Linked DNA regions of Drosophila melanogaster. The protein of the gene in region 4 interacts with the protein of the main gene of each other region in a pairwise test. Each region holds a gene or a part of one and is shown on either strand. Other genes may lie near its edges.

What was found.
Region 1: the proteins of CG6163 (region 4) and CG44837 interact in a two-hybrid assay, tested with the Drosophila melanogaster proteins (one large-scale study listed by BioGRID).
Region 2: the proteins of CG6163 (region 4) and CG8854 interact in a two-hybrid assay, tested with the Drosophila melanogaster proteins (one large-scale study listed by BioGRID).
Region 3: the proteins of CG6163 (region 4) and hlk interact in a two-hybrid assay, tested with the Drosophila melanogaster proteins (one large-scale study listed by BioGRID).

The regions. Positions count from the first base shown.
Region 1 is NT_037436.4:11,935,714-11,940,955, forward strand, and holds the start of CG44837 (uncharacterized protein), read right to left. Parts: upstream 3,160-5,242; 5' UTR 2,987-3,159; intron 2,795-2,986; 5' UTR 2,628-2,794; coding exon 1,260-2,627; intron 207-1,259; exon of another isoform or gene 19-206; coding exon of another isoform or gene 1-18. Other genes in the region: byn (brachyenteron), read left to right, coding at 1-18.
Region 2 is NT_033778.4:12,223,762-12,231,165, forward strand, and holds CG8854 (uncharacterized protein), read right to left. Parts: upstream 5,550-7,404; 5' UTR 5,347-5,549; intron 3,086-5,346; exon of another isoform or gene 2,584-3,085; 5' UTR 2,583-2,583; coding exon 1,943-2,582; intron 1,484-1,942; coding exon 945-1,483; 3' UTR 700-944; downstream 1-699.
Region 3 is NT_033778.4:6,737,432-6,742,313, forward strand, and holds the start of hlk (hulk), read right to left. Parts: upstream 3,242-4,882; 5' UTR 2,822-3,241; coding exon 2,608-2,821; intron 925-2,607; coding exon 768-924; intron 697-767; coding exon 530-696; intron 99-529; coding exon 63-98; intron 1-62.
Region 4 is NT_037436.4:11,361,420-11,367,114, forward strand, and holds CG6163 (uncharacterized protein), read right to left. Parts: upstream 3,467-5,695; 5' UTR 3,353-3,466; coding exon 3,190-3,352; intron 2,500-3,189; coding exon 1,858-2,499; intron 1,668-1,857; coding exon 1,186-1,667; 3' UTR 567-1,185; downstream 1-566.

The DNA.
Region 1 (5,242 bases), 570 kb from region 4:
CAGAGCACGCTGCAGTGATCGGATCATCCCACGGATAAACCCACAGCCTTTAGACGCATGACCCCCCTGGATGTTCGATCGAGTTAGAAATAAACGCCCTATGTTAGTAACGCTATTAGTAAAGCACACCCAATCGCAATCGCACCTATTGTAGAACTATCTGTACGCTGTAAACAATCTCCTATAAAGTCGTAATCAAACTATGCAAATGGCTAGAATTCATTTTTTCAGGTCCTAACTATCAGGCAATCATTTCATCATACAATGGTATCATCTACATCATCATCTACATACAATGGTATTTAAAAGTTCTTTAGAGTGCATTATTAACCGAGAAAATATTTCCTAGTTGAAGACTCCTGTCATGCTTTAAGTTTCCCAGGCCGTTTGTTCCTGAGTATTGCACAATAAAAGTCTCACACCCCTTAGGGCCACATAGAGTGTGCAATTGCATCCTTGTGGTAAAACAAAAGATAAAGTCTTGAGTTTTCGAGGGGTCAGCCAACAGACTCCAACTCTATTTGAAATGGCAGCTATTAAACCTAAAATCGTCTTAACAATTACAGACAATAACGATGTGAGGGTGCGAGAAACCCAACTGTGAGCTTAATCCCGGCAAGAACAGGCATCCAGCTCATTGTCGGATTCAAAGGGGTATTCAATTTAGTTTAAAAGTTGAACCCATCCCATGCGGGCCACTCGCAGCCAGACAATGGAGCACTTGGCAATGGCAGAGTCAGTGCCCCAGGGCGATCTCCAGGCGGCAATCTGCCAGGACCAATCCAGCCGTGAACCCGGAATGTCCACAAAAGGCCTCGCTGATAATGAGTTTGGGAAATGCCTGTGTATTGGAATCTCCGCCAGAGTGCATTAAAAGCTGGATAGAAAGTGGAGGCCCTCTGAATGTGCCGCCATTCACCTGAATTGCCGGACACCCGCACTGCAGATATAGTTGCTGCAATTAAAATTACACGGCGCCATCACTTGTAAAAGGGCTGTGCACGGCGGGAATTTGACGCGGTTTTGGATTAAATGGGCAAACAGGAAACAATTAGCATTCCACTTAATTGCAAAATATCTAAAATTTCAATAACTAAAGCCATTTGCCTTCCTATACTGATGGTATAACAATAGACCGACATTAATAGACAATATAAGCTTCGAAAGTTACAATTTGTTAATCATATGTTTCTTATTCAACCGAAATTGTTTTCAGTTTTTATTTGTATTAATCTCTTTTGAACGTAGTTTTCACTCACCTGATAGTCCATTGAGTTGCCATAGCCCATGTGGTTGCAGGAGCAGGAACAGTGCTTGATATGCTGCTCCAGCTCGTCATCGATGACGGTGGTGCTGGTTGTTAGGTGTCCAAGTGCCTCGTGATGGAAGTGGGCATGCTCGAGATCCCAGTGATCCCTCTGGCGAAAGCGAATGTCCTTTCCCTGCTGCTCCAACAGCTCTACAGGATTTGCAGCTTGATGTGGCTGCGGGGATAGATGCTGTTGCGCTTCCCCGGGCCAATCGAATGAGCAGGACTTGAACACACGTCTGCCACCCGTTCCGCCCACCGCTGTGGATTGTGTTTCCCTGGCGGGACTGTTCTGTGGACTGGGGCTAATGGCATTAACTTTGCTGTTATCGCTCTCTTGGGCTGTTAAGCTGCCGACTCGCAGGAGAGCGCCGCGCTCGAAGCTTTTGGCCGCCTGGTGGAAAGCTCCGTACGCAACAGTTTCGTCCTCCTCAACATCGCTGGCATTCTGGTAGCGACGCATTGGCGGGGCGCCACCAGTTGCTCCGGCCACGTTACCGTTACCAATGGCCGCCGCCGTTGGCGTCACAGTTACCGCCGAGCTGGCCGCACTGAGCATGAGGCGGAGTATTTCATTGGTGTCCTTCGACGGCAGCGGCACACTGCAGGAGCCCGTTTCCGCCTCGGAGATTTCCTGTGTTTCCGAGTTCAGCTCATCCGAACCGTTGGGCTCCTCGACTTCGATCTGTTGGTTTTGGCGTGCACGTTGGCCCACTATCGAGGCGGCCGTGGAATTGGCTCCGTACTTCCAGTACGTTTTTCCAGTGCCAGCGATCCTCTGCAGATGACTTCCAGCCGCCTGACGTTTTCGCTCCTGCAGCTGTTGGAGATTTTTAAAGACTTTTCGCACCGGTTGCGTGTGATGCAAGGTGGCACATCTTCTCATGGGCGGCGGCGTATATACCGGGGAAACACTGTAGCTGTGCGAGTGCCGACCGGGCGAAAGTGAGCCACTCGACTTCGCGCCCACTAAGCGGGCTTTCAGTTTACGGCCAAAGCCCAGGCCACTTCCGCCTGCCGTTGCGCTTCCGGTTCGCGAGGTGAGTGAGTGGGCGGACAAGGAGAGGGCGCGACTGAATCGCAGAGCCGCTGATCTCTGCTGCTTGACGGCCATCAGCTGGCACTCGTCGATCGTCGGCAGCTTTAGCAGGTGAGGATGCAGCTGGGCATAAGTTAGTGAAGGCTTCGCACTGGGCACATCCGGTGAGGGATTCGGCAGCGGATCGAAGAGGTTTCTCTGGCTGAGGGCCAGGAACTCGCGCTGCTCCTCCTCCTCCAGCGCCTTCAAAGCACGCAGGTCCCACTCGCCAGAAGACATGGTTCCCTTTAGTCACTCATGGATTGTTAATTCTTTTTCACGAATTTTAGTTGATATTTGAGTAATGACACGCAAATCATCTTTATTTATGTTTCAGTATTAGCACTTATTCTGGTCTATTTACTTTTAATTTGCATATTTATGAAAATAAACACATTTTTGGTGGCCTAAGTATTCAAGTATTCAAGGATATAACATTATAAAGGAGGTACAACTTATATGTACATATAATATATTGAAAGCAAGTAAAATAATGTAAGCTAAGTAATAAATATAATATACAAAAAATAACGTTTCTATTATGTAAGTGAAAGTAAATGATAAGATAGTAGATATAATAATCGGATTCCAAACGCTACCTATTTTTACTCTTTCACTAACAATGTTATGTTTGTTATGCTTTTCCAATATCACGGCGTAAACTAAAACAAATAAATTATAACACGTCAATCCCGCCAATATTCCGTCACATTTTCCGTTGGATAAAACCGCTAACGCTACCCGGTTCAATTCAATTACCGTTGCCACGCGGCGCTGCCAACACACTGGGCTCTTCAGTGCTGCGGTACCGTTACTTTATAACGGCACTGCTAACAGCAGCAGCAACAGTTTCCGCAAGGAGTACCCCCCAGTGGATGGATGCTGTGGATCGTAAGTGACCTGGCCCAACAAAAAAGTATGGCAGTGGGTCGCCATGTTAACAGTATGTAATGTAAAGTCCATGTTAATGCAAAGATATTTTATTGTAATACTTATTTGAAAAAAAGTAACTATAAAATATAAAACAAATATCCATTGGAATCATGTAACAATAAAAAGAATTTAACCTCCAAAGTAGCGTTTTTTTGTTTTAATGCTATGCCTTAACAGACCTTAAAACATTTTTACCAAACAGGGCTTTTCTTATTGAACTCAATAGCATACATTCTTCTTGGTAATCAAAGTTACGCTTGCTCCTGGCCACAAAGCCAAAGTCTATTGTTTTATGATGGTGTTATCCCAACTTGGGGCAAAGAGTTGGCCCAAAGGTGATACCGCAGGTGACGGGGCGGCAATGAAATATGCAAGTGCATTCATTTGGCATCCAAAGCAATTTCGCAGTCAGCAGGACGACGACACATAGCCATTTTTGTTAACCTCATCTCAAAATGTTCACCGACCCCCAAGCCAGCACTCAGAAAAATATAGTGTGATATCTAATATTATGTTTTTAAATTCAATATAAATTATTTAAAAAATCAATGTGCGAATAGCTAGAAAACATGATATATTTTAGTTGTACAGATGAAACGGCCCACGCATTAAAATTTTTTTTGTAGTGTGACCATTTCTTGTAACTTAACATTACAATGCACGGCCACATTTCTGCACACCTGTACCTGGGTACATATGTAAGTACTTGCTCATGGCACACACATACTCTGAAGTGCTCATCCTTCATCCTGATGTATGGCCATCAAGCATCGGATGGGCTGAGTGTCGGAACACGGAGGGGAAGTAAGTATGTGCACCGCTGAATCCCCCGAATCGTGTTAATGAAATTCAAGCTGGGTCAAAAATTTGCATTAGCACATCCGGCATCCATATGCAAATCATATTTCAGATACGAGGACTCACATGATTAACAAAAAGCGGATCGATGGGACGTTCGTAAAAACAAAAATATATATGTAACTTTGTGGATATATATCCATTGCTCCATTAAGTGACTTATTTTAATCTTAGTATGCAGGCAAAGGAATAATTAATTATTATATAATTATATTAATTGCCGTTCTCTTATAATAAATTAAATTTTTTCTATGGCACAACAATTATTTGTTAATAATTACAGGAAATATCTACTAAATAGACGTTTAAATTGGTTTTATTTAAACCTTTCACGTAAATGTGAAGGCGTTGTGGTAATTAAAAATATTTAAATATTAAGAAAAAAACAGAAAAATGTGGTTTCCTATTGTCTTGTAAAGCCAACAAATAATTATTTTGAAACATTGGCTTACTGCAAATTCCCGTGGGAATTTTGCTGTCTAAACAATTTAAAAAGGATTCTTCTTTATTTAAAGCTTAATAACTTGGAAAGAGAACCAAAAGTTGGCCCGTGAAGGGCTCAACAATGTCGGAGTCAAGCCATAATTTTTCGTGAACATGTTGGCCAGCCACGCCCATGTCCTCGACGGCAAATCCCTGCCACAGAGGATGTCAGAAGTCAAGATCGAAAACAAGTGAAAGTTGCAACAAGCCATTCTGTTTGAGGTCTGCGTTTAATTTTTTTTATGGGGACACTGTAGCCAGTGAGTCGAATTCGAACAGGACCTCTTTCCTTGACCAAATAACGAACTTTGGCTGGAAGGTCGGGAACATCTGCGCCACAAGTTGCGAGCCCAACCAAGCCACCGAACTTTATTGAATAGAAATTCGGTTTCGTTTCCAGAAACTTCATATTTCTGTACGTTATTGTTCCTTCCCCCGCATGAGATACTTTTGCTGTCTGGCGGCGATTTGGTTTCCAAATGTTAACCCTACCCTGTCTTCTCAACTTATCCAGAAAAGGGTGAAGCCAAGCACCACGAAGCCACAAACTTAAATAAGTAATTTTGGGATACAATTTTTTT
Region 2 (7,404 bases), on a different chromosome or scaffold from region 4:
AGAAATTGAAATCGCATTCAGCGGCAAAGGGGGCAGGCGGGCGGATGGCGAGAAATAGGGGGCAAGAGCAAAGGAGATAGAGGAAAATCTTTTCCGTTTTATTTACCTTATTGATTTTCCCTTTTGAACAGGTCGCTCTCCATGTATTTGTGCACCTCCGGCCGAGATAATCGAGCTGAAGTTGCATTTCCCACTTTGCTGGCGAAAAGTTTAATGGATTTTTCCACCATTCAACACCGAAAGGTGTGCTTTAAAAACTTTCCTGCTGTCACTTATTTCCCATTTCGTTCGTACACCTGCCGCATTTGCCATTTGTTCGACTAACTTAGGCTTGACAATTCTCAAAACATTCATCAAAGTCCGGCGCTAAAACCATTTCCGTGTTCTCATTTCTCCCCCCGCAAACATTTTGTCAAACATGAAACATTCGCCTAGTGACGTCACAACTAATTAGAGTGGAAAAAGAGGAACTTTTCTTTGTCACCAAGTCAAGTTATTTGTTTCTGAATGCTTTGCCTAATTAGTGACTTCAACTTTGCTAATATTATGAACAAATCTATAATTATAAGAAATAAAGAAACTATCTTATGTTCAGTCTTACTCTACTTTTAAGTTTTATTGAGAACTATTAGCTCTTCTCCATATAGCCAAGTTTAAACTTTCATACCTTGAAAGTTTTAATAATAACTACAAATCCTTAATGCTTGACTTCAAAATGTTTATTCGGTAAATATGAATATGAAAACACTATATATCTACGACAAACATGTTTCAGTTATTTGGTCTTCAGTGTGTGTGTGTGTATGTGTTTGTGTTTGTATCTGTAATGCAAAATGACTTAAATAACAATAAGGTTTCTGTTCGCGATTGGTGCAAACGTGTTGGTAGTTAGCCTAACCCAAGCACCCAAATCCCAGATCCACGTGGATGCGGCCCCATGGATCTCAGTAATGGCGCTGCATCACCCTGTCCAGATCGTTCCAACTGCATGAGTAGTCGATCTGCAGTAGACCCTTCTTGCTCAGTCCGAATTTACGTGCGTAAATTCCCGAGTAGAGCGACGAGTCACCACCGCTGGAATGATGGGGCGATGAGCCCCTAACCCGACTGCCATCACCACCCACCAAGCCGCCCATGGTTCCGTAGAGGGCGGAGGGTGCGGCATAGATCTGCTGCTGGCATTCGCTGCAATCCGGTATGCTGCAGTACGGCAGTGAAGCATAGGGATTACAGTAGTCGTAGGCGGGCGAAAGTGGCGGCGGTGCGGGGAAATCGATCTGCGGCGGAGCGGCCATGGGCGCCGCCTTACCGCTTCGCTTGCGCCGCGGATGGGGGGCAGTTCCATAGCTGCCGACCATGTTGGTGCTCCGCTGCATCTCGCTGGGCACGGAGCGGCGTTGCATCGTGGCCGCGCGTCGTTGGAGAACGGGCTGCTCATCGCCAATGGAGGAGGGATGCTCCGTGGAACTGGTGCTGGAGAAGCCTGAAACGTGTGAGATTACACGGCATTAGTGAAAGCTATCAAAATCATTTGGTATTTTACAACAGCTACATTTATATTTAAGCACTCGATGGGTTTAAAATCAATAAAACATTTATACTTACATATAGTTTGAAAAGGATTAGTAATCAAAATATATAACAAATACTAAGTAATTAATGATCCCCAAGTACAGAAAATCAAATTTCATTAGTCAAGCTCAAAAATCAATGATTTTGCCAGAGATTTGCAATTAAACGTTAATCGAATTGCCATAAAAGACGCACTGCGTAAATTGTAACAATCAAATGGAATCGAAAATGAAATCTAAATGCATTTGTGTGATTTGCATACAAAGCTAACTAAATAAATTGGTTATTACGAAACAAAAGGAATTTTAAATTAAAATCTAGTTTTAAAGGGGTTTCGAATTTGCATTTGCTATTTGCGTTTTTCACTCACCTCCAAAGCCATTGTACAGTTGCCGCTGCTCCTCGCCGTAAAGATCTTCCGGCTCCTCATCCTCGCCGTTGTCCAGGTGCAACTGCCTGGTCATGGTGGCCATGTAGTCCTCATAGCGGCTGGGCACACCGTAAATATCGCTCCTGGCCGTATAGAGTGGCTCCTTGCGAGCGCTGCGGCTACGGCGACGAGTCCTTTGGGGCACACAGCACTCAAGTTGGCACTGGGCACGCGACACCCGGCGACTTTGGGTGTGGGGGCGTGGCATTGTGGCCGACATGCCCACACCCATACCCGCACCGGCGGCACCCACTCCGTATCCGTATGTGGGACTGGTCGTCAGCGAGTTGCCACCACCTCCGTAGGCAGGTTCAATTGCCTCACCATCACCATCACCACCACCGCCACCGGTGACATCATCGATCTTCTTGCGAACATAATCATAGTTCTCCAGATCCCAGGGATCCACATAGCAGCGCTGCGAGGGCAGCAGCGTGGTGCCATATATATCCTCCGTGTTGTCAATGGTATAATAGGGGGATTCCAGGGCGCCCACTCCCTCCGAGGAGCTGCCACCAGGTAAGGCCTGTTTTGGACCGGCTCGTCGCCTTCTTGGGGTCGTTTGACTGCGTTCACGCATGCTGTAAGAAAAAAAGGCAAAGAAAAAATACATAAATATTGGTTGGGAAAATGCGGAGATGGTGCGCGTGGTGTGGGAAAGCCATGAGCAAGTGCATCAACTGGTTGCTTACGCAACGCACTTTGTGGCCAATACTGAAAACTCTTCCGTCAACGAATCGAACCCGTTCTTCGGCGTTGGCCGCGAATTTTCCGCGGCATTAATGCCGGCTTAAAATTGCACACCGGCTTGGCTATATCTTTTGCAGGTGTTACACTTCACGACTTCAGATTGCAACCATTAGCCGGTTTATGGATCTGCATAACTTAGCATGGCCAATCAATTGGCATTCCAATTGCCAATAAGCCGAGATATTCCATTAGCCAACAGACTGGTTTACGTCAAAGGAAAACTAACAAAAAACCCATCCACCCGTTTCGGGCATCGAAAACAAATTGCTTTACTTATCAAATTTCATTAAAAAAACAAAAAACTATTTAATTAAAATCTGAAATGGAGCCCGTCGGCAACTGTATAAATTTATAAAAATATGCGATACAAAATCAAGTGGAATAAGTGCCATGCAAAAAATACACAAATTTCCATTTTGTCGAGAAGGTTAACTAGATTTTCGATCAGGCTTGTCAGTTGCAGTGCCATCGAAATGGAATTAAAATACACCGAGTTTTCCATTGTAAAACTAAATAAATGAAAAACGTTCAGTTTTTTTTTAACTGCATATTCATTTCAGAGTTTATTTAACATAAAAGACAATATCAACATGTAATAAGCGAAAAACGGTTCACATTTCTTTCATTCGATTAAATCTCTACCGAAATCTGAATGAAAAGCATGAATGGGCACAGAAAATATTAATATTAATGCATCTGTTTCCGCAAAGTTAAAAAAAATACCTTAAAAAATATTAAATTAAATTTTTAGGCAAATTTTTCGGCTGATATTTTACATAGGCTTTTGGTTTTCTCCGGGGTTTTCCCCTTAATTATTTCTACAATATAAAACGCCCATTTCAAAAAAGGGTTTTGCGCAATCTTTTCGAGGCATTTGTGATTTGTGCATTTGCATAAAAATGTTGAGTTGGTTTTGTTTTTGCCTGGTTTGTTTTAATCTCTTCGGTTATCGATTAACATTTGTATGGCCTGATCAAGAAAAAAGGTTTCCGATGGGAATATATTTTTTATAAAATACACAAACTGTACCGCGAAAAAAAAATAAAACAACGTGACTTGGCTGTGACACGCAAATGAAATCGTTTATCTGTGTATCTTTCAGGGTCTATAAACTTTTTATGGCATATATCCAAACAAAACAAAATATGCACACAGAAGCCCATCTGAATGCACTTTCAGTGATTTGCACGCGAGTGAAAATGGTTTAGGGCTTGTTTTTTAAGCTATTTATTATTTAAAGGAACTCCAAAATGTAGTCAATCCAAAACAAACAATGTAGGCATACAAATTCTGCACTCTATACTTGATATTCCAGTTATTATTCTAGATAACTGATGAATAAATTGATAAGAATAATAAATGTTCTTGGTGGGTGAAAATCGCATTACGTATGCGCCACGTGGCCCTTTACCGTGAAAAGTTAATTGCATGCGCAGTGTTTAGACGCAATTAGAGTTGAATATGCAAACACATTCGTGGATATGGAACCACTTAAAACCCCTAAGACCCTGTTAATTAATTGGCATCTTCGGACGGCACTTCCACTCCTTCACTGCGGTTGGCTGATTGCCCCGGTCAACCTCAGATACAGATTCAATTTCGGATTCAGATTCATTTCAGCGTAAAGTGCCGCTTTGACTTTGGCTTCTGGCCATTTGCATATCAAATGTGACAAGTTCGCGTCGAGTTACTTTGTGTAATCAGTCGGGCTTGTTAGCGTGTTTGGTGATTGATAGTGGTTTTGGCCACCTGAGTTAGGCTTAAAATAAAAGACAACTATCAATATTTGTGCAAATCCGGGCTATTAAATGCTATTAAGACGGATGACCGTAATGGGATATTTAAATAAAGATTAAATTTAAGTATACTAAAAATAAACTTATTTAAGATAAATGTAGGTTTGTAGGTAGCAACCACAAACACTCTTTATAAATATTAACTGGTAAGATATTCCACTATTTATATTTTACTACTCAAAATTTTGCCCACCTCCATAATATTATTCGATTGACTTTGGTTTTCTCCGAATATTTCAATTAAGGTAATAATTAACAACCTGTCCATGTCTCATTCAGCACAAATTATGCAAAGGTAAGGTAAATATTTCGACATCGGATTATAATGCAAAATAACTGGAAACACGTTTGCCAAATGCCAATCGACCTTGCTAAGTATTCAAATATATAAATATTTATTCGAGTGATATCATGCCCAATTGTGGATTTACATCAAACCAATCGAGAGCAGGGTAAAATGAATTTAAAAAGTCACATCTTCTGCCGCACCTTTGAAAAAAGTATGCGAGACGAGCAGAAGTTTTTATCATGAATCACCTGAGAAGAACAGTTCTCTCGCATACCTGGGCGTAGTGCCCTAAAATGGTGATCATTACATTACACCTGAGATGCATTCGAATTTATGTGGCACAGACCCACGCAGATGATCACTCAATCTCGACAAGCCCGCAAAAGATTGAAAACGAACATCAGACGGAGCTGAAGATACACCTAAAAAGATACTTGGCAGCCTGCCCACACTAAAAAAATAGCAACTTTCTTTGCTTTTGACACAGTTTTCTGGGCAGTTTCATTCACCTTGTTATTTATTTGGTTTTGGTGTTGGTTATAAATTTGAATTTGTTTTATGCCGTCGGTCACTTGTCACAGAGCACTTTTATGGTTATAGAACGCTCTTTTAGCCAATTTGTGAATTGTAAATTTCAAACACGTCCGATCGGCACATGATCTACGCGCATGCGCAACCGCGTTGTGTTCGCTTCTTCGACCGGCGCTCAACTGTTTTGGCCAACGGTTTGAGCCAAGTTACAAGTCTTTGGCGCTTCTCTGCCAGCATGTTCGAACGGGTTTGATCCTCGGTCTGAGCTCACCTCACATGTTCGCTTGCCAATTTCCATCAAAATTAATCAGAGATCCCATTCAGTCTTTATGTCTTTGGCTAGATGTAATTTCGGCCGGCCTGTAAATTAATTAGCAGTAAATTAAAATGACAGCAGGTGGTTATGTCACAGTCGCAGAGCTACTCAAAGTCACATTGATATGCAAATTTGAGAGTCGTTGAAATGCGGCTGCGCCAGGGAAATGCCATAGATATGTAAGCAAAACTGGGCTTCATTACACAACGAATTGAAGTTGCTCTAAAGAAATGTATCTAAAAACTCAGTTAAAAAGTAGAAATTGTAATTTGAACTGTCATCATTTAGGAAAAGAAGCTGATTCATACCCAACATATATTACACCCATTTTCGAAACTCATTCAACTTAACCGCATAGTGACCATAGCCGTTGCTAGAGTAAGTGGTTTAAAAAAAAAAGCAGCTGCCAAGTTCAAGTCTTTTTCACTTGCGGAAAGAAATTGAAATCGCTGCTGAGAGAAATTGCATCACTTCAACTTCAACTTCAACTTGAACCGACATTCGGGTGGGGCAATGTGCGCCGCCTTTGAATTCATCAAAAGAAAACAGGTGATGAGCATCATTTCTCATTCGAGACTTTTCCCATCTCCAGCAGCTAAAGCCCAAATAATTTATGCAGTTTTTTTTGTTAGCTACCAAAAGGTATTTATAAAATTAATTGTTTGAAAAAACCTTAAAAAAAGCTTTCACTTTCAGTGCGGTGGCGGTTGGTTTTTTGTGTGGTATCCCCAAAGTCGTGCCGATATTTATGGTGTTTATTCAGTCAGGTCAGTTATTATTTCCTATTGCGGTGAGTGTCGAGTGCAAACAATCAATTGATGGCCCATAGACCAAACCAAAAGCAATTCAATTAAGCCAGCTCAAGTGGGCCACACTTTGTGGTCAGATGTGTCACCAGATAAAAAAGCAGGCAATTAACAAATAATTGTTTGGGGAATTTTAAAGGATTTGCGAAATCTCAGCGACCGCAGATGTTATGCTTCTTAAATTATTTAAAAATATAAATTCCTATCATATGTTAGTATTTATATACATATATATCTTTAGAAATATATCTATAAATGTCTTGCAAGCTCATGCCATTCAGCTTTCGAATGTTATTTGGATTTCTGGTCACGAGAGCTTCGAAAATTGTTGCCTTCACCGGGCATCCATCCATCCATTGAGTTCATTTAGCCAGCCTGCAGTTCATCAGGCCTACATTCCTTGCCGTAGAATCCCAACCCCAATATAGGTACATATGCACTATTTGGACCCATTCAGAGGCTCTGGAGCCAGAGCAATTTGCCGCTTTTAATGGCGAACGTCGTTTTGGGACTTGGGCAGCACACGTTGCCAACGCACAGGAAACCGGCTGCACCTGGCCACCCAGCGGGGGGCGGTGGTGATGCATTTTCCGGTAATGGTAAGGGGGTGGTAAGGGAGCGGTGCCGCAACCAGATGTTTGCCTTTGACTGGCGGCAGACTCGTTGATCTCTGCTCCAATTCCAATACGTATGTGTGTGTGTTTGCTCGGCTCTTTCGGTCGGTATCTATCTATCAGATACTTCGCACCGGCGACATTGCAACATGCTCTTAGTGATGGCAAGGAAAAACTGCAAAGCTATTTCATATTGGCAACAATATTGCACAAGTAGTAACATCAATGATTGAGGAGTACATATATCTGATTTCAATCGATATTGTAGGCCTCATATCGAATTGTACTGCCATAGAGCTT
Region 3 (4,882 bases), on a different chromosome or scaffold from region 4:
GTAGGTAATTATAAGGAGAGTGCAAGATAGAAGGTTCCCAGTACTGTTCACGGAAAACTTACCCATAACCCTGGGCGGGCATGTTTCATGATCTGGACCTGCAGTCGTTTGATAGAATAGATATTGGATTGATAAATTGTCCTTTTGCATTTTGGCTCAAAGAGGGTTCGAAACACCGCCGGAAGAGAAATTATTATTATATATAGATAGCTATATTAAATGTTAAGTATGCCGCCACTTAGCTTCGGTTAGTTACAAGTAGTATACGTATTTATAGATAGAGTACAGACATACGCAAAAGATATTGATTTATGGAATAGAATGTACAGAATAGGTAGTTTTGAAAGTAGTTCTAGTACCTAGCTGTATGATTTTTAGTCACAAGAGAGCTAAACTGTTTGTGTTCGCTAAAAACTGCAACTGCTTTGAAAAAGAATATCATCATTTCAAGTGTCCGACACTAGAGTGTTCGGAGTGCTAAACGTTTGAAGAACTATGTATGTGCTACGGTTAAGTCATTCACACTTACAGAACAGAACGGCTACGAAGTCGGTGTCCTCGATGATCTTCTGCAATATCTTGGCATTGACCTCCTCGATGCGATCGGGCAAGTCCATGGCCTCCAAGGAGGTGAGGAAATCGAGCACTCCTTCCTCGTCCATGAGATCCCCATCATATATGATGGGCTCCTTTTCCCTGCGGTTTTCGAGATATGGATTCGATTCGATTAGGTCTTGTGTCTTGTTTGTGGTGGGGGAATTACCTACCTGAAGTAGGTGAGGGCGGGGAAGTTCTTGATGCCATACTGTTTGGCTAGTCGTTTGTCGTTGATTTTCACGAAGTCCACACCGAAGGAGTCGGTGTCATCGTCGATTTTCTCGAGTTCCGCTAAAACCTTATCACAGGTCACGCAGCTTCGCGCATCTGAAATCGTAGAAGCCGAGCGTGTGAGTACTAAAGATCGATTATATGTAGATACCGGCAGCGATTGACAGTCGGCAACTGCTGCATGTGACGCCACAAGAGACCATAACTAAATTCCCATTCGAATTGAAAGCCCAAAGCCCAAAGCCCTGGCAGAAGTGGAGCCAAATGCCGCAAAGATTATTCATTCCTATATAGTAGATGCAGGATGCATCATCGGACCGCGCAATCGAAAATAAGCCTGAATGAATGAATGAAATGACAGCAGCGCCAGGCCAATTCTGTGCTATTAATGCGGCAGCAACTGCCAACAAATATGCTGAAATTCTAAATTAATTCATAAAATTCATGCGGCCACTATTAGGGAAATGAATTGCAGCCCACAAAAGACCACCGTTGGCCCACGTCTCTACAAACGTTCTGGTTGGTTAAACGGCAGACCAGACTGCAAAATCGGAATCATTAATACATCGCCGAGTAAACAGCCATTTCGATTGTTTGGCAATCCGTTCAAAACAATCTTTCACTGCTTGGAAAGTAATCGCGAGTTGGCCGAATACCCCCCCCCCCTGCCTACTCCATACTCCTAATGCTGTTATTTACGGGCTCCAACACTAAGGTGTTTCCTGTGTACACCAGGTGCTTTGGAAAATCCACTGCAGGATGTTTGATTTAAAATCATCAGAGTGCTATCGCATGCAGTGCAATAACATAAATAGCGTTCACTTGAAATAATAAACACATTTAGCTTATCGATAGAATTCGTTTACATATTGAACTATCTGCGATTTAATTGCCAAAACTATTCAATGCTCTGCCATTTGCGTAGATATTCCATGATTATTTCGATTGTCGGCCAGCGTCATTGGGCCTGAGGCTTTTGGACTTAAAATATTTTCATTGTCAACAATTATTTTTGGAATTGCCGCCAATGCTAATGAAACACATCGTGAGGTATATGTACATATACATATAAAGGAGAATATTACAATCCGAAGATCACTTTCGTGTTTATTAACTTTGACATTGGGGAACAGCGCGCAAATGCCCAATCTATATTTAAACTGATTAAAGAGATTTAATAAATAAGCCATTCTTTCACGCGAACGGTAACCATTTTTTTTTTTTTTTTTTTTTTGGTTACCCAAAAACAGGTCACCAATGGGACCCACTGGACAAGGGGATTGAAAATAAATTTAAAAGGGCAGGAAATCTGTTGGCAACTGCTGGAAGGAAATTAAATTCTGCTTCATAGGTATGTAGGTATATTTTGTGCCAAAAGTTTGCGCCAAAATAGACTAAAAAACCGAAAATATAAAAAGCTGCAAAGACGATTTCTCACAGCCAAGAGAGATTTCTCTACTCATAAACAGATCGCAAAGATAGCGCAGAAATGAAAAAAATATAGAAAAGGGAAGGCAGCACAGACTACTGGCAACTCGGGGAGGAAATGAAGAAATAGAAAAAAAATAAAAAATTAACCGAATGAAAATCGCGGACATTTCGAGCAACGAATTTTTCACATATTTTCATTTGTATGTGAATTTTTAGAATTTTCACTAGCGAAAATTTATATAATATGGCTTCTGTTACTATTTCGAGTCCGGTACGGTCCGGTCTGACGATAAATGAGCGGTGCCCGGACGACCCCGAGAGCACTGGCATAACCACCCTCCCACTTACACCAGAAAACGGCCACGTAATCCTTGTCGGCCAGGAGCTTCTCCAGCTGCTTGGCATTGACCTCCTCGATGACGGCCTCCGGCTCCGGAGGCGCCACTGGCTGCGAGCCCTTCTTGTTGTTGTTGTTGCCTGCACCACTCACATGTCCGGGAAAACTCAGGGCCAGCAGAGCACACACGAGCAGCGAGAGAGTCTTGAGGCGGGTGAAAGTCATCCTGCGATCGGTTACGGTTCTGATGTGCTTTAGGCCCTTAACGCGAACATGCGTGCGCGTGTCTGCTCGTTTTGGTGTGTTCTACAGTTTATAGTGTTATAATTGTATAATTGATTCGTTCTCGTCGTTTGGGGTCTTTCGTTATTAAAATTTGTATTCCTTTGAGAATCGGTCACTATTTTTAGTTGATAATGGTGTTTCTTCTTTCGCAATTTATTTTATGTATAACAACTTTTTGTTCACTGATACATATATACGGGGTTCGTATATGCACAGGCGAGATATATGTGGGGTATATACGAGAATAATTAGATTATATATGTGGTTTCTTGCTTCTATTAATTGAACGTTTTCCGCGGACTGTACTCTTTGCTCTTCAGATTTTGTTCCACTCCGTGCAGAGGTCCGCTCGCAACTGAAATTATTTTGGTGGAATCTCGGTGCCATTCAAGAGGCCTTGCCCGAGCTTTAGGGATCGGGATCGTGGACTTCGTGCTTTGGCGCAGCTTTTCCGCTCCCCCGAAAAGCTTTCGCGTCGAGCACAGGAGCGCCAATCGAGTGAGCAGTGTGGTGAAATCAGGCAAAGAGCAAGAGTTTCCCTTTTGAATTGCAGTTCTCTGTTTATGCATTCGGTGCAAACAAGAAAGTGACTACGAATAGTCCTATAAAAACAAACTCGGAGAATCGCTTTCATTATGCGCTACAACAATTCACAGTACTTTGTATTCCCCATTTTCCCTTTGGTAAACACTTTTAACAATGTGTTTCGAGCTAACATTTTGTCAACGTTATGCTTAGTCTAAAATAGAAAGGATTAAACTTCCCTTTGCTAAGAGACATAACGTGACATTGTTGAATCTTTAAGTTTTATAGTTCCAAAAATCTATGCGTTTATAGAGATAGGAGGACATGAACAGATCGAATCGGTTAATGATCCTCAATAAGAATAAATGTAAATTCTAGGGACGGAAACGTTTCCTTCCAGCAGTCAACTATTATGTAAAAATCAACAAATATACCAAATTTTGAATAGGATCTAGAGAATGATTTAAAGTTACTGTTAAATAAGCCTTCTCGAAAACTGTTGGTCATCGAAAACATGGAAGATGAGACCGGATTTACAAGTGGTTTTCTGTCCTTAATAGCTTTATTTGTATTGATTAATGTAAGAATTCTCAAATTCTAAAGATTGGCATCAAAACCTGATCCAACTAATAATGAATCCTTTTCAACTGGTTATCAACTATGACCTTTGTTAACGTCAAACCACCCTCGCGAATTATTTGGAGTTCGTTTCTGCAACACACACAAAAATGAAAGTCTCGGTATCTTGGTACCTGTATTAATGTTATGGAGGTTTATTCAATATTTTACAATAAAGCTAGGCAAGTGATAAATCAGAAATGTTTTAATCAATTCGGATATGTTCAAAAAATCTAGTGATGCAGTTGCACTTTTTCTCGGAGACTCCCTTGTTTATAATTTGCAGGACAAATAAACAAAAATAATACAGCCTATTTTGGGCTTTCAAACAAACAACATGGCCGCCATTTGGATTTGAATAGCTATCGATAGGTGCCGTCGGCCAGCTGACAATCCATCCACTGCCTATCGATAATATCTAGCTGAGCAAGATGTACGGATTTGTGAGCACACACTTTAGTTTTTCGTTAGGAACGGGACGTTCGTTCTGTTGCGCACCAAATTTTTTCGGACCCAATGCAAATGCAAACGCTTTTGCGGCGTGTGTAGTGCATTCAAAATTACCAGATACCCAACGGGATCCAAAGTTCCCAGAGCAGTGGCACCGGAATCGATGCGACCAGCAGTCAGCGGAAGCGTAAGAAATTCGCGCCTAGGTGGACAAAAATCGATCTGTGACGCGGTTTAAACCAAGGTAACTCCGCTATCCATGAATAAAATCAGCTCTTCCCACGGGTGCTTCCGCCATGGGGCCACAGTGCGGGTCCTGTGGCCAATTCACCTTGAACCCAGTATTGCAGAAGGGGCCGCATACCAAGTCCAATTCCCTGCGCTTGTGTGTATACCTGCGCCTCTTCC
Region 4 (5,695 bases):
CACTACAAATCGCTGGGCCCATTAGAGGCTTGGCAAAAACGCCGCTAAATGCGACGTGAATTATTTAAGGCACGTGTGTTGTGCAAAATGCGGCAAATTCGACAGTGAAATGCATTTATTATTGAAGATATTGTCGGAGTCTGCGGGCGGATGAAAAATAAAAGGGGTGTTGGGTGCTGAGGATGTAAGATGAGGCGGCATCCTTTGGGCCAATTATGTGGGTGGCTCTTGGGCGAAACGAAAACGGGGCAGCTATACGTTTTGATAAACGTTTTACAGTTTGAGAACTTTTCTTTTCTGGGCTGGCACGTGATTGGAATTACGCGTGTTCCGCCCTTGGCCCTCAGCCAGAAATTTACACAAATCCACAAAACACTGGATGCCAGGAAGCCAGGATGGCAGGATGGCTGGATGGATGGTGGCTTTATGGGACGACTCCATGTGCGGCAATGTGTATGTGTGTGTGTATTTGAAACATGTTTGCCAGTTTGGCAATCGACAAATGTTGCACACACTGTGAGAATTAGCATAATTTAGTTTTCGCGCTCGGAGCGTTCTCGAATCTCGAATCCGTCGCATCGCATCACGATTATCGCAATTGATTGAGTGCAAAGCACTTCAGATGGAATAAATCTCCTTTCATTCGGAAATTACAATCGCATTTTTCTCGAAATTGATATTGATGAAATGTATACCACTCGGTTATATAACGTGAGTAGTATCCATTTCAGTTTCGCATTGAATGAGCCCTAATTTAATTTTAATTCATTAATCCTTCAGAAATACATGGAAGTTTCTAGACTACACAAATTGGAATATATATGCTAAGTGAATTTATTTCCAACCAAAATATACAAATTAAATATTATGTATATCTTAGTGATGTATTTATTTGCGGAGTAGTAGAAAATGGAATTACAAAAAGGTTTTTCAATAGTAGGGGCATGCGGTATAGCTAGTGATTTTACATCTGACGATTATTTTAGGGTCTTCAAATTGCACCTGAGAAGAAACCTATATCAAATCAAGAAAAAAAAACAAGTGAAATCTTGTTAATTTTGTTCAATTATATTGAAGTATTTGATCTAGTAAGTTAATATTAATTAGTGCCCAAAAAAAAAACAAAGTGGTGCAGGCTTTTTCTCAGGTGTGTCTAGGGCTTAACTGCCCCTATTTGCTCAGTCTTCAATTGGCAGCTGGCTCTCCGGCACCATGGACATGGAGAATCATCTCAAAGGGATCCCACTCGAGATCGGACTCGTGCTTGACCCGACGGCGAATGGGCTGCGAGTGCTGCGGATGGTGCATGGCCAAAGTCGGATGGTGTCCCTCCTGATGGTGGTGCTGCACCAATCCGATTGGCATGTCCTGGGCGTGCTCCACCAATCCTGCTGGCGGCTGTGGTGGACGGTAGTGGTGCAAGTGCTGTGACGGATGGTGCTGCGTCTGCTGGTGGTGCTGCTGCTCGCTAACGATCTCCTGGATCTGTTCGCGTGTCTGCTCCCTCTCATCGACCTTCTTTAGCAGAATTTCCCGCATGAAGGACATTCGATCGAAGTGTTCCCACGTGGAGCGGAAGGATTGGTGGGAGTATTGGGCGTGGCGCTCCTTCTGCAGTTCGTCTACGTAGCGCTGCTTGATGATTGACCAGCGCGTTTGCATAAGAGCTGCAAAGTATAAGATGTTTTGGGAGGGTTGGGGAACTTTTTATAATTCACATTCCTTTAAGCTACTTAAGCTTATTTTAATACCAATTCGTCAGGACATTAGTAACATCCTTTTAACACAATATTAAATTAGTTTGCTACATGCTATATATTTCGATGGATATAATCTACTTAGACGGGACTAACTTACTCGGTGTCAGACCCATCTCCATGGCCGCTTCCTTCCAAACCGCTGAGGTTCTACTCTGACCCTGTCCTTTCTCACTCCGCTGGCGCCCAGCCCACAACGATGGACGCGTCTTGATGGCATCGATGATACGTCCGCGCATGCTATTGTGCAACGAACTGGGGCGGCCCAACTTTCGCGGCGGCGTGGCCACCGTCTCTGAGGCCACAGTGGCCGGTGGAGGTACCAGCCCCGTGAAAGCGGTATATGTCATGCCATGACCTTGACTATGGGGCGGCTGAGTGATTAGATGCGGCAGTTGAGGGGCGGTGGGTGTGGTTGCGGTCTGCAGCCAGCTGAAGCTACCACTGGGTCGTCCGCGACCATGGGTGGCGGTGGGTAATGGCGGAGGCGCCACTGGGGCAGCAGGTTCCTCCCCCACAGTTGCTGCTTCAGTGGCTGTGGATGGGGCATCGGAGGAGGTGCCTCCGCCACTGCCGCCGCTCGACTGAGCGCCTACGATCTTTGCCACCGTAATGTTATACATGAAGGACATGGGCTCGAAGTGCTCCCACTTGGTGTTGAATCGATCCTTGTGGAGGATCTGGCGGTGGACCAAGTTGTGATAGTGGTACTTCATCTGGCTCCAGATCGATTGCAGCTTAACTGAAAATTATAAATAAATATGGTAAACATTTTCTTTTTTAAAGAATATTAATCGTGAATCGTGATTATTGAAACTTCCAAGAAATAGATATTTCAAATATTGAGATTATGGCTTAAGAGGCCTAAGAGTGCGAAGTTTAGTCTTTTCATTCATGAATATTGTAATATCTTGTGGCACGGTGCAGATAACTAAGCTTACATTAAGCCACCCAATTGCATTCATCAAAGTACATTCCACCCGTCAATTATTTCTACTGCGAGTGCTTCAATTTGCATTATATAGTGGCGTAGGCTCCTCTATTATTCCAAACGGACAGAAACCTTTACTTTCTATCCGAAATGCCCTTTGTCTAATTTTAGCCAAGTGCAGTGACGTAATTTAAGAAAATAATGAACCCTTTAGGAATATTGATTCAACGTAGATTTTTGTTATTGAGCAGTGAACTTTAAAATGTTCAGGTTGGACCAACTTACTTTAAATAAAGTGATTTTCAGCCCCCTTTCAAAAGCACATGCCTGCGCCACTGAATGCGCCTCGAAAGAGCTGGCGAAAGGAGAGTGCGAAAGGCAGCAACAAATGGCAACACTGCTAGCTAGCTGGCGAATGGAGCAGTGGCGTAGAGTGTGAGGGGTGCTTATGTCGGAAAGCGGAATGGTTCGTAGGGACGGGTACATTCTTGGTGGGCTCACCTGTCGGCACATGACCGCCGAACTGCTCGGCGATCTCTGTCCACATGGGCGATGTGACGCTGCGGCACATGTGCAGCTTGTTGTTGGAGTCCCAGATCTCCGGATATTTCTTGATCGCCTTCAAGAGCTGGGCTCGATTTACGAACGGATCCTCCTTGGGCATGGCCACAGCGAAACTGGTCACACTGGCACTGAATGATACCGTACCGCGGCAATGATTCCAAAGGCGATGTGAAACTGCGCCGGCGGAGCACAACTGCGTCCTTTGACATCAATTATCGGCGAATAACTGAAAGTAGAGTTTGCAAAAATATGCGAATTGAAAATGAAAAGGCACAGCGATTGAGGAAAATAGAGAAAACGATGACGGCGACGGCGACGCCAGCTTTTCGTTGTTGTTGCCCCGATGCCGAAGAGATTGGAAAGGCAGCGAAAGCGTACACGAGATGAGATACACAAAATGCAGGCGAGAAGAGAGAACAGGGAGAATGTGCAAAAAAAAAAAAAGACAGAAAAAGGAAAGAAGAGTCAGCAGCGACGACGTCAGTTTTACATACAAAAGTCTCCGCGTGTAGGTGCTTGTATCTGTGTGAGTGAGTAAGTGTGTAAGATGGCAGGGCGAAAAAGCAAAACAGACACAAGCAACAAGACCAAAGAGGAGACAGACAAAAAGCAACAACATAGCGCAGCAGCGGCAGAAGCAGCGAAGCTCAGAGCTGCAAAAACCGAAAAACAACAGAGAAGAAAAGCACTGAAAGAATAAGAGGAAGATGGAGGAGGCGGAAAAAAGCAGCGGGCAGGCTGCCCAAAAGAAAGGCAACGATAAACAAGCTACCTCTCTTTCATTGGGGGTCTCCTCTCTCTCCCTCTCTCTAACTTGGAGCCACCGAAAACGAGAGGGTGTTGTCGGGGAAGGGGTGAGTGGCGGACGAGCATTAGAAGCAGCGAAAAGCGAAACAAAAGAGCAGCGAAGAGTGCAGAGCAAAATGCAGGTCCGCAAAACGGAGAGCAGAGAAATCCACGATGACCGAAGTCGGTTGTTGGTCGAAGGGGCTGTGTGCGGGTGTGAGGGGGAGCAGCGAAAGAGAGAGGGAGGCAGGCAGAGGAGACCCGGAGTCCGAAGCCCGGCTGTCTAAACCGGAGACCCAGCAACAACAGCACCAACAACTGCAACAACCAGGGCAAACAACAACTGCATCACGAACACGCAACAAAGTGACGAAGCAACCGACGGACAGTGGGACGCATTGGAGCTGGCACAGTGGGGCCAACGACGGGTGGGGGATAGTAACGCGGCAGTAATGGTTTATCTGGCTAGAAAGTTGTTAAGAACCCCATCTTTAAGTATAAGAGTGAATACGGTTACAAGAGATTTAAAATGTCTATTAATCTTTATCAAAACAAATTCTACAAGCTTTAATTATATTTTATCGTGAAATATTCCATTTTTAACATTTTGGTCATAAAATATGATATGGCGCCATAAGATAGGCAACACATTTTTCGCTTATAAGGGGTAGATTACGTATACGTCCTGTTGTCTTTATTGCATTAGTAAAACTTATTTACATCTTGTTTTTTAATTTTCTGCTAACCACTTAAAATTTATAAAAATGTTAAATACAAATAACTTTAAATGTCACTCTTAAGTAAACTGGGCGTATACGTGATCACCTAATTGCATGCAGAAGATGGCACATTATCAAGAATAAATAAAAAAAAAAAAATGTTTAAATTTATATTCGCTGACTTATAAATTTACTTAGCCGTTTTTTCGCCAAACTGAGTTGGCATTGTGCAAAGAAGTGGCATCACTGGTGGGTGGACTGTTCGGTCGCTTGCTCGGGTTCGTCGTTGGTCGTTTTGGGCGCTGTGAGTGTGTTTGTGCGAGTGTACGTGCAATGAACCCGCAACTACAACTGCACACAACTGCAGCACGCACACTCGCACACCCGCCCACACACACGCACGCCGACTTCATTAGTATTGGCAACGATTCGTAGGCGCTGCAGCGCGCTGCGTTCATTTACTCAGTGCCCCAGACCCCGATGCCGAGCAGCGACCCACAGTGCTGCCCCCGACCACCCACCGCACACCTTGCCACACCACTTGGGCACCACCACCACCCGCCGCCTCACCCTACCCCCTTAGATATCCGCAATTCAGCGTGCGAGAACGAGACTGCAAAACAAACAAGATTCGGCATAAATCAGAGGTGGTCAACTATTTACATAGTGGGGATGTTTGTATTCGGGAGCGGATTTGTGTTACTTAAAATAAACCAAAGAGCACCAATTACAGCGATTTCAAAACTAACAAATAAAAAAACCAAGGGAAAGTTTGGGTTTAATGCTTACAACACTTTATTGGACCACTGCCAAATGGTTGATCAAAGAGTTACTGACCTATCGCATATAGAAACAAGTTTTTCTTATGAACAAACGCATGTTTTTTTAACTGACGCCCGAATAATATACAGCTTAAGATATGAATATTAACGCTTGAA